3 linked regions of the Callithrix jacchus genome follow. The protein of the gene in region 2 purifies or fractionates together with the protein of the main gene of each other region. This does not show direct contact. Links are inferred from orthologs where the notes say so. Each region holds a gene or a part of one and is shown on either strand. Other genes may lie near its edges.

Evidence for each region. Proteins that work in one complex are often made in the same cells at the same time.
Region 1: the proteins of FBXO10 (region 2) and ACSL4 purify together in Homo sapiens (affinity purification with western blotting; 3 studies listed by BioGRID, with this or other methods). This does not show direct contact. The link is inferred for Callithrix jacchus from reciprocal best matches to the Homo sapiens genes FBXO10 and ACSL4.
Region 3: the proteins of FBXO10 (region 2) and PDE6D purify together in Homo sapiens (affinity purification with mass spectrometry; 3 studies listed by BioGRID and IntAct, with this or other methods). This does not show direct contact. The link is inferred for Callithrix jacchus from reciprocal best matches to the Homo sapiens genes FBXO10 and PDE6D.

Annotation. Positions count from the first base shown.
Region 1 is NC_133524.1:106,114,341-106,118,359, forward strand, and holds the start of ACSL4 (long-chain-fatty-acid--CoA ligase 4), read right to left. Parts: upstream 2,804-4,019; 5' UTR 2,781-2,803; coding exon 2,697-2,780; intron 1-2,696. UniProt on the Homo sapiens protein: Catalyzes the conversion of long-chain fatty acids to their active form acyl-CoA for both synthesis of cellular lipids, and degradation via beta-oxidation. Preferentially activates arachidonate and eicosapentaenoate as substrates.
Region 2 is NC_133502.1:144,508,099-144,511,609, reverse strand, and holds part of FBXO10 (F-box only protein 10), read left to right. Parts: intron 1-2,611; 5' UTR 2,612-2,617; coding exon 2,618-3,202; intron 3,203-3,511. UniProt on the Homo sapiens protein: Substrate-recognition component of the SCF (SKP1-CUL1-F-box protein)-type E3 ubiquitin ligase complex. Mediates the ubiquitination and degradation of BCL2, an antiapoptotic protein, thereby playing a role in apoptosis by controlling the stability of BCL2.
Region 3 is NC_133507.1:153,232,627-153,236,673, forward strand, and holds the start of PDE6D (retinal rod rhodopsin-sensitive cGMP 3',5'-cyclic phosphodiesterase subunit delta), read right to left. Parts: upstream 2,804-4,047; 5' UTR 2,620-2,803; coding exon 2,570-2,619; intron 1-2,569. UniProt on the Homo sapiens protein: Promotes the release of prenylated target proteins from cellular membranes. Modulates the activity of prenylated or palmitoylated Ras family members by regulating their subcellular location.

The DNA of each region.
Region 1 (4,019 bases), on a different chromosome or scaffold from region 2:
GCTTCCACTTTGTACCTCTACTATAAATTCTAAACTCAGAAGCCAGAGTACTATTCTCAAAATGTAAGTTAGATCATACCATTCCTCTGCTCAAAATCTTTCAAAGAATCCCCATATGACTCACCCAGAATATAAGCTAAAGTCCTTACTGTAACGTACAAGACTAGATAATCTTTCCCCTACCCCTAAAGGGTCTGACTTTACCTCCTAGTATGCTTTCGCTGGAACATTCTTCTGTAGTCCCTTTTGTTCCTGCCTCATGACCTCTGTACTTGATGTTCTCTCTGTCTAGAATGCTCTTCCAAGACACCTACATAGCTTATTCTCTTGCCTCCTTTTCTTTTTCTTACTCAAAGAACACCTTCTCAGTGAGGCATTTCTCCAGCCACCTTCTTTTAAAATTGTTTTCCCACACTTTCTATCCCTTACTTGCATTATTATTTTCTTAGTATTTTCACTAATATACCATGTGTTTTATTTTTCATGTTTACTGTCTATGTCCCTATTAGAATATCAGCTTCACGAGGCAGAGAGTTTGTCTCATTTGCTGCTGAATCTGTGACTGGAACAGAGCCTTTGTTTATTAGCGTCAGTAAAATTGTTTAATGAATTAAGAATGTACACTGAATTCTAATTCTATAAGGTAAAAATATATGCAAGTACAATAACGTTAAGGTAGCTAACTTTAATCATCTTAAAAAGCAATCACTTGTCCATGCCAACATCCTAGGAAATACTATACTCTTAAAATTCCTGGTAATTAAAATAAACTTGAACATGTTGTTAGTTGCTTAATAGAAAACATAAAACTGGATAAACTGCCTGTTGCACAGAGAGAAAAGATGCGTGGTATAAAAGCATGAAGGTTACACAATTTACACTATGTGCATTTTCACTGATACTTTCAAAGGCATGTGGTCCTTCCAAGTATGAAGAGTGTTACTGCTATCCCACCATTAGGAGGACATGAACTTTGAGTGGTGCTTCCTTGATCAAGTAACGTATTTGTATGTCAGCCAGAAAAAGGCAGGGTATTATCTTCAGTCATTGGATAGTTAATTGCTCCTGCTGAACTTTACCATTCCATATGGGAATCTTAGTAATAACCAGGTATTGAGCATTTACTACAGGCTAGGCACTGTGCTAAGTCCTTTGGATATATTATCTCATTTAATCCTTCAGAAGACTCCTTTGGGGTAATATCTTCATTTTAAGGATATAACAGACTCAGAGAGATTAAGTTGCCCAAGATAGCACAGCTGAGTAGAGATCTGAACCCAGGTCGATTTGATTTTAAAGTCCATGTTCTTAGCTCAATTGTCTGTGATCCTGGTCACACTGGTATAATCTAAATAAGTGAGAGTGACAAACTTTGGGTATGAAAAAATACTGGCAACAATTTTGAGCACTGATCTGTCCTATATCCTAAGACATTATGTGTGGGAAGAGGGGGGCTCTTTAGATGTCCAGTAAGTACTAGAAGTTTTAGTGAAACATCAGATTCAATTTTATTTTATTTTTTTGTTCTGAGGTGAGGTTTAATGTTAAGTATTTCATTCCAGTTACTTCAAACACTCTGAGATAGGTTAAACACAAAAAGTGTTAGTGATACATTAAGCTCTAGTACACAATGTAAACATTACATATTAATTAAAGTCTGAATTTAAAAGAAGAAATCATCTTTCCCAGAAGCATGTGACATAACACCAATTTGAGAATAAAAGAGAAAAACTACTGAACTGCGGTTGGTTAATGCCAAGACATTTTTTCAAAAGTTTTAGAAAATGAACTAAACCAAGCAAGGATCCATGCATCTGCTAAGTTGAAACACACAGTAGTGACAAATTAACTTTGTCCTTGACATAAGATCTTACAAAAAGTTTTTAAGTCAATTTGAAAATAAACAGTTAACTATATAAGCGCTAATTTTTAAAAGTCTCATTTTCAAATTACACATTAGGAGCAATTAAATAAAAAATAAAGAGACAATGTGCCTTCTGAAAAAGATTAGTTACAGACTAGTAAACATTAAATCAGAAAACAATTATAAAAGTTCCAAGAGATTAAACAGATAAGAATACCTGCTGTACTTTAAAAGATCCTATTTCTAAATAGATGTTGCATCACAAAGACTTTTATAAAGGGGTGGAGTGCTTCCTTAAAATCTTATTTTCTTTCACACACTATTAAAAACTTCTAAATGATTGTAAAACATACAAGAAAAAGTTCAACTGCTAGACTGAGTAAGAATGGTTTCACTTTGCAAATGAAATCAAACTTTACAGGAGGCATTACAATTAACTTTATACTTTAACATTAAAACTTAGAGAATGCCAATACCTTGAGAAAATAAAGGCATTAAGAGTCGTTTCATCAGTCGGCAAGACAAAATAATCATGTGAAATATATGTATTAGTACAGCACTTGTCTCATCTGATTCAAATTGTTATACTCCAAATAACAAGCAGTCTACTCAATAGGAAATGACTTGCACAATCAAACCCTAAGCTCAAATATACAGTAATTATAATACATTTTAAAACTGAGAAAAGCAAAACAAAACCTAAGATGACTATATAGATGCCGTATACCAACACAAAACACCTGTGCCTGGCTAGTTTGAAACCGTCTCACAGTTATGACTGATCTTTGGGTGCGTCTCTCACAAGATAAACTGAACCTGTTTACTTCATCACCTGGAGACGTATTAACTCCTGAAGTCGCCATTCTGCCAGTCTCTTCCCAGCTTTTCCCAGCAAAGAAAGCACCTCAGCTGCCATGTTGACAATACTTTCAATGCTCTAGGGTGAGTTCCCTCCCATCATGCCTTAAGAAGATGATCCCCGGCATGCATCAGATAAGGTTGTTTCTAGGTCATAGGATGTTATAATTGGTATCCTATCTATATATGTTAACATGCGGAGCTCTAGGAGCCAATGTTGCTGCCTACACACTTCACATACACTGTGTAGAATTATACATCTATTCCTCATTTTAAGTGATCAAGACAAACTTGATTTTTAAATATGTAGCTTTCTAAAGTTGGGAATTGGTTGTATACAACTTAATCCAATAATTGGTTGTGAATAATTTAATCCAAAGCTTACATTTAAAGGAATCTTGAGGATAAATCAGGCTACAAGTGACACCTACTGGCTAAGCATGATGCTATAACCAAACTTTATTAAACAATGAAAAAGGGAGAAAAACTAAATTCTGTGCGATATATGTTTAGAGAGCAATACAAATGGTTCAGTGCTGTAGAAGGGGAGCAGAGAGCATAATGACAATGCCAACATTGTACAACTGATGCTAAAGAGTAACTGTTGCAGGTCCCTGTACATAAAACCTTGCTGCTAAATTAAACTGCCCATTGCACCATGGGGCAGGGCAGACTTTTATTTGATCTACAAAGTCTGATTTACTGGGCGCTTTTTCTCTGTTGGAATATATAGATGATTTTAACATAAGCTAACCAAACATAATTGGGCTATAGAATTTAAAGTTAACTTTTATAATAAATGTGTTTTGTTCAAGTGAAGAATATACAAAATATCTATAGGTTATACATCTATCTCCTGTCGTCTTACATATTTATTATAATAAAGTAATACAACACAGGGCTTTCAACCATGAGTGTAGGTTTCAAAAAATCTTTTAAGCAGCAGTAGTATTTCCCATAGGAATATCCTCATATTACAAGGAGAATTTTACAATTGTGCCTTCTTTTGCCACATGATCTGCCCTCCCCATTTGCTAGAGGATGAACAAGTTTAATAGGTTAGTTATTGGTCGATGTTGTTTCCAATATGTCAGACAGTTAAAAAATTATTTGACAATGTAGTCTTAAACCATTTCTTATAAAATGGCCAATTAAATGACTATAATTCAGCTGCCTGACCACCATAATACAAAATTTTATCATGATTTAAAAAAAAAAACTCATTCTGCTCTTCAGTACTAAATATACCTTATAAGTGATTCTAATTAAAGAACTCAAAGACTGATAAATCTGTTAA
Region 2 (3,511 bases):
CCTGTAATCTCAGCTATTCAGGAGGCTGAGGCAGGAGAATTACTTGAACCTGCGAGGCAGAGGTTGCAGTGAGCTAAGATTGCACCACTGTACTCCAGCTTGGACAACAGAATGAGACTCTGTCTCAGGGAAAAACAAACCTGAGAAAGTATAGCTAAAGAAATAAATGAAGAACAGGAAGCATCAGTGTTATAGAAGCTGCCATAAATGAACTGGCATCCATCTGGGGAAGTGGCAGATATCAGGAGCCCAGCCTTTTCTCTGTAATACTTAATCCAGAGCCCAGCTTTTCTCTGCTGTTGCTGAGGACTTAGTAAAGTCTCTCTGGTGATCACTAGAGACGAACCTACATATCTGGGTTCCAGTACAAATCTGTAGAATTAAAGCCACACCAGTCTTGACGAAGCTCAGCATTTCTTTCATACTGAATCACACATTTGTGCTCCTAGCCTTCTTGGGGCTTAGATAACTAACAAGTATGATTAGCATTTTCATAAAATTGCAAGAATACCCAAGGCTCTGGAGAGGTTAACAATTTGATGAAGGTCAGTTGTTTCTAGTCCTACTTTATTGATTGATTGAGATGGAGTCGCAATGATTGATAATGATTGAGTTGGAGTCACACTCTGTCACTCAGACTGGAGTATAGTAAAGCAATCTTAGCTTACTGCAACCTCCACGTCCCGGGTTCAGATGATTCTCCTGCCTCAGCCTCCCAAGTAGCTGGGATTACAAGTATCCACCACCAGGCCTAGCTAATTTTGGTTTGGTTTGGTTTTGAAAGAGTCCCACTCTTGTCACCTAGGCTGGAGTGTAGTGGTGTGACCTCGACTCTCTGCAACCTCCACCTCCCAGGCGGGTTCAAGCAGTTCTCCTGTCTTGGCCTCCTGAGTTGCTGGAACTACAGGTGCACACCACCATGCTCAGCTAATTATTTTTTAGTAGAGATAGGGTTTCACCATATTGGTCAGGTTGTCTCCAACTCCTGACCTCTAGTCACCCCCTACTCAGCCTCCCAAAGTGCTGGGATTATAGGCATGAGCCACTGCGCTAAGCCTAATTTTTGTATTTTTTAGTAGAAATGATGTTTCACCATGTTGACCAGGCTGGTCTTGAACCCCTGGCCTCAGGTGATCCTCCCCACCCACCTTGGCCTCCCAAAGTGCTGGGATTACAGGTGTAAGCCACTGTGTCCAGCCTTGGTCCTACTTTCTAGTTGTCTAGAGACTATAGGGTTTCAGACTTGGAAGTTGCTCTAAGTCATCTATTTGGCTCCCTTGCTTTTTAGGTGGGAAAAATGACACTCATCAATGAGAGGGCTTGAACTAGGTTTAAAAAACAAATAAATGAAGCTGGCTTACATTATCAGGGATATCTGATACATTCAAAGGGCAAAGATAAAGCTGAGCTTTGAGAGTAGGCTAGAGCCATGACCTGCAGTGCTATAGAGAAACTGGATGCCCCTTGCTTCTGCCCTTTTCTCTGCTTTTTTCATTCTTCTCTCATTGTAGATCAGCTTCTTCTGTCTTGCCTCCTCCTGTGCCCCAGCCTGGGGAAAATGATAACCAGAGGCTATTCCTAAGGAAAAAGGCCACTCATTCCCCACCATTCAGGAATGAGGCCAACCTGATTCTAGAATTGCAACTCCTGTTCTCCTAGAAAAGGTCTTGATGGCCCCATTAGAACCATCCAGAGTCCAATCAGTTGCAGTCAAGGGGTTAGGGATCCTTTGTTCTACACATACATCTGCAGGGAACCCTACCTCTGTAATCATGTGATATAAATCACTGGTAGAGGAGAAGAAGAGTTTTCCAGAAAAAGCAAGTAGGTAGATAGCTGGGCAGCCAGCCCATGGGTGTTCAGAATAACGAATAACTGCTCAGGATAACCAATGGCAGAGCCGGATCAAAACCCACAGCATCTGACTCAGTAGTAGTTCCTTCCTGGGGCTGTCCCACTTGGGGAAACAGTAATTACTTGATCTGGGAACGAGCAGAGACAGACAGACGGACAGTCACTGCCTCAGTTCTCATTCCTGTCAGTGTCAGGAGATAGAAGTCTCTTCCTTGAGAGTATAGGGGATCCAGAGCTCTAGGACTCTAACAGCCAAAGGTGGGTTCCCTCTTAGGAGTACAGGCTTGTCTAGTTGCAAGTCACAGAAACCCAAATCAAACCAGCAAAAGGGGGATTTAGTAGAAGGCCATTGGGATATCCTACAAAATTGAAAGAAGCACTGTAGATTCCAAGGCATCTTTAAGAATCTGGAATCAGTACTACTAGGACACACACACATGTGTTCACCTTTTTTTCTTCCTCTTTTTGAAATGTCATCTTTCTGTTTGGCTCTGATATCACAAGGTTTTCTCTACAAGGTGGGGAACCTGGAAGTTCTGGAGTCATATCCTTATAGCATCTGACCATAGAGAAAAGAGAGTCTTTCCAGCTAATTCCTGGTGGAAAACTCTAGGGTAGGATTCAGTTTGAAAGGATAGAGTCCTCTGACTGACTGGACCTTGTTTACTTGCTCAGAAAATGGCAATGAGGTATTTTAAGAAAGGGACTGGTAAGGAGGAGAGATGGAAACCTTTTTTGTTTTGTGTCTGTCTCCTAGGTGACCATGGAGACTGGTGGCCTCCCCTTGGAGCTATGGCGCATGATCTTAGCCTACCTGCACCTTCCTGACCTGGGCCGCTGCAGCCTGGTATGCAGGGCCTGGTATGAACTGATCCTCAGTCTTGACAGTACCCGCTGGCGGCAGCTGTGTCTGGGTTGCACCAAGTGCCGCCATCCCAACTGGCCCAACCAGCCAGATGTGGAGCCTGAGTCTTGGAGAGAAGCCTTCAAGCAGCATTACCTTGCCTCTAAGACATGGACCAAGAATGCCTTGGACTTGGAGTCTTCCGTCTGCTTTTCTCTTTTCCGCCGGAGGAAGGAACGACGTACCCTGAGTGTTGGGCCAGGCCACGAGTTTGACAGCCTGGGCAGTGCCTTGGCCATGGCCAGCCTGTATGACCGAATCGTGCTCTTCCCAGGTGTGTACGAAGAGCAAGGTGAAATCGTCCTGAAGGTGCCCGTGGAGATTGTGGGGCATGGGAAGTTGGGTGAAGTGGCCCTGCTAGCCAGCATCGATCAGCACTGCTCAACCACACGCCTATGCAACCTCGTCTTCATGCCAGCCTGGTTCTCACCCTTCATGTATAAGGTGGGTGTCCACATCAATAGGCCTTTCTAGTCCTGACCCCAGAGACTTGGCTTCTTTTTGGGGTTGTAATCCCTTTTTTTTGTTGGAATCGAAAGTTAGGAGTTAGTATTATGCTCATACTCCTCTGAGTGCTGAACCAGTTGAAAAATAGGCACATGATCAGCATAGTTCAGAATTCTGCTTTCTTCCTGGTAAAGCTGTATTTAAAAATGTGGCTTGGGCTTGGAGCCAGAATTCTTTTCCACATTTTCCCTTTCCAACTGGACTAACTGGAGCCACCAGTGGCATGCCACTTGGTGACAGGAAGCA
Region 3 (4,047 bases), on a different chromosome or scaffold from region 2:
GAATCCAGGAGAATACCAATTAAAACAAGATCTCATTTGTTGTGCAAACTGGCAAATAAAAAAGACTGACCTAGTCAACAGGTCAACTAAGTACTATCAATATTGTTGGTGGGAGAACATAATGGTGCTCTTTTTGTAGTGATAAACTATTCTTTCAGAAACAGATACTCTGAAAGTTCAGAAAATCTATTTACCCAATAAAAAGTGGACAACAGTCAGATAGTTCCTTACTAAAACATTTTATCTTTTTTTTTTTTGAGATGGAGTTTCACTCTTGTTGCCCAGACCGGAGTGTAATGGCTCAATCTTGGCTCAAAGCAACCTCTGCCTCCTGGGTGCAAGCGATCTCCTGCCTCAGCCTCCTGAGTAGCTGGGATTGCAGGCATACACCACCACACCCAGCTAGTTTTGCATTTTTTGTAGAAACAGCATTTCTCCATGTTGGTCAGGATGGTCTCGAACACCCGACCTAAGGTGATCTGCCCACCTCAGCCTCCCAAAGTGCTGGGATGAGAGATGTGAGTCACTGCACCTGGCCAACATTAATTTTACTTTTTCCTGAAGGTAGCAGCATATCCTAACGTTCCTGCTTTTCTTTTCTCTCTTACTCCCCAGATGCCCAATAAAGACTACCAGAGGATGAGCACGCCACTGCTCTCATGCTAACTTTTTGATGTGGCTGCTTCCCTTGTGCTTTAGGATTTAATTAGCTCAGGTCAAGCTCTCCCTGAAAGCCTGTTTCTGGGTGCACTGACATCACTGAATCCGTTGATTCACTTTTCCTTCTAGTGGGCTGACACAGATTCTGCTTTCTACTCTTTCCTGTATTTGTCTCTTACCCTCTTTCTCAACAGGTTCAAGAGCCAAGACTGAAAGCGAGAAGCTCAAACTTCTTTGCTTGTTCAAAAGCCATTAAAAAGACCTTTCTTCTTTTCAGCAATATGGTTTTTCCAATCAGATGAAAACGCTGCTTCTGAAACCTCTCAACCTCTCAATTCTCCATAGTCTCTGGTTTACTGCCTACACTGCATGTTAAGTAACAATATTATTACATTGTTACTTGTTAAGTAATAACATAATTCAGGGAAAATAAAATCCATGTCATAGCTTTTCTAGCACTTTAGTCATCCCTATATACCTATATGATCCATTATGGAGAGAAACACAGAAAGGCATATGGAGGTAAAAGAGGCTGCCACTAAACCACTACATAAAAGTAACTTAAAGTTTATCACAAACGGTAGTATGCAAAGGGGATACAGCCTTTATTTTTTTAAAAAGCAAAGATCAATTTCCATTTGAAAAATCTCACTTGTACTTTTTGCACTGTGATCTAAAATGTATTACCAACTTGGTTTCTGATCATAGCAAAGCAATTAAAATTTGTAAGGATGACATGGACAATGTGAAAACACAACAGCAGACCAAGAGAACAGTGCACTAAACCTCCAAGGGAGGAGCCCAAAAGTGATGACTACCTTTTCACCGCGGGGGGAATTTAAGTTCGTTCCGCACTATAGATTACAGACAAGATGTATGAAGAGATTAAAGTCGGCAGGAGAATGGAAAATGTGAAGATACAAGTTTGCATTTTTTTCATCAGCATCATATGGTGACAGCCTAACACACTCGACGAAAACACAAAGCTTCCTTGCCACATCGAGGAGAGGTTGCAAAAGTGGCACCACAATAGGCCCGAGGCAATGATTTTTCTACCCAACTCTAGTCTACCGTGGCCCCAGCCACATCACACCTTTGCTGGACAGCTCCACCACCGCCAGGCGTTAACCACAACGACAGGAGCCAGCAAAGACACCTCGGCTAGGAGTCCCAGCGCGGCACCCCGCACCCAAGCCTACGGTCCCCATCTAGCTGGAAAGAAAACCGAGGCGCTGAGGGGGAGGCAGTAACCAATGCCTCAGAAGGCCAAGAGTGTTAAGACAAGGTCGATCTTGGATTTCTGTTTCCCCACATCCCCCAACTACTCCAGCCCTGGAAGAAGCCACAGGTTTGGAAAAGAAGTTGTGGAAACCAGACGGGGGTGGGGTGCGGTGCGGTGGGGGACCTAAGAGAGTTTTAAAAAGCACTGGTAATTGTCCCACACAAGGTCGCCCGCTCCAAGTCACCGTTCCGCGCTCCCCAGGTGGGCTTCCCGCCAGAGGGCTTCTAGTTTGAGAGATCAGCCCACCGCGCCCCCTCAGCCCTTCCCTGCGGGCCGCAGCTCCCTCCCGGCCTCTGGGTCCCGGCCGGGGATCGGAATCCAGCCGGCCTCTCTGACAGCGTTTCCGAAGCCCGGCGCCTCTAGCAGCCCCGTCCCCCAGGCTCCACCGTCCCCACCCGCCACCTCCCGGGGCTCCCGTCAACGTCCCAGTCCTTCCTCCGGACGCCCCTGGGGCCGCCTCTCGCGCCCGGTCCCTCCCGGGGCCGGGCAAGCTGTTCCTTTCCTTTCCCCTCCCGCGGCCCTTCTTCGGTGGGGCCCACCTGGCGCGGCCCCCGCCCCCTGCCAGTCTCCTCAGGGAGCGGCAATCTCCCAAGTCCTCCCGGCCCCGCCCAGCTCCCGGGCGGATACAGTTTGAAGCCCCTCAGGATCTCCCTGGCTCGCTCGTCCTTGGTTGACATGATGCGGCAGTCGCCGCCCGCGGCTTTCTCACTCTGGTTGGCGGAGCCTCGTAGACGGTGCCCAGGAGCCGAGGATGGAGCCGCAGTCCGGCCTGGAGACCTCGGGAGAGCAGCAGCAGCGGCCAAACCCGGACCGGCCTCTTTCTCCCCTCAGCTCCCGCTCCTGATCCCTTCTCCTTCCCCCAAGCCTCGAGTGCCCTCCTGGAACCAATGGAAAGCCCGCCTTGGCAATTGGCAACCCAATCAGCCAATAGGAGCGCGCAGCGGCTTCGCAGGGGGACTGTGAACGTCAATGGGAAGGGCCCACCCCGGGAAGTCCCAAAGGACATAATATTCATCTGGTGTTGTTGCCTAGAGTTTGTCCCAGCGGAGGGTTGCCTTCGGATATGCAGAGGCTTTAGGGACCTGCTCTAGCCGCTGAGCACACTAACCGGCAGCTAGTTGCACTGTGAGACGGCAGCTAGTTGCACTGTGAGATGCGACAGACTACATTTCCCAGCATGCCAGCGGTGCACTCAGGGACCACAGATCCCAGCGCACTACAAAGAGGCCTGGGGACTACAAATCCCAACATCCCCTGCACTCAGTTCCTCTGTAACTTAAGGCTCCAGTGTGCCGCGCAGTGTGCGCAAATTCATAAACCCGCCAGCTGAGTTGGTGGTTTCGGAATCCTGAGACTTGAAACCAGGCGGGAAGACCCTTCTCACCCTCCGAAGAAGATGACACCCGCAGAGAGTCACCTTCTGTTTACATGGAACTCAGACATCTTCTGCAAATCATGGTAAGGCACCAAACAACAAACAAAAACACTGATTGAACTGTGAAAGATAACAAAATGACTTCTTCAAGTCGTGCTTGTTTGTTGGTCTGAGGCGTCTTTTACGTGTTTTTCAGGGGTTTTTGCTGTATTCCTGCTTTGGATCGTGAGAGCTATGGGTTGTACACACGATATCAATACAGAAAGGGACTTTGCTAATCTACACCCTGTTTTTATGTATGAGGAAACTGAGGCCCAGAGAGGCGAAGGGATTGGTCGCAGATCACAGCAAGTTCGGGCGGAGTTAGAATTCGGCCCTAAGTCTGCTGACTTGCAGTCCGGACTCTGCACCACACTAAGGAGGTGATATTTTTAGCAGGATGGCAATGTGAATTCTTATTCTCCTTGAACGGTTTTCCCATCCAGTGTTGAAACACCCAGAGATTAGGTAGCATTTATTTGGTGATTTCTTGTAAGTAAGGGAGTGTGATATTTGTATATTTTCAGCCTAGGTATGACTTGGTGTTTTGTTCTTTGCCACTCAAAGTGACATTTAACGTGATTTCAGGAAGTAGGTAAAATTGCAGTGTGAGCCACGGTTTCCTTGGAGACCTCCTATGTCCTTCTCTTGGCCTTCCTTCCTCTGCCTGTCCTCGCTTTCACCCATCTGG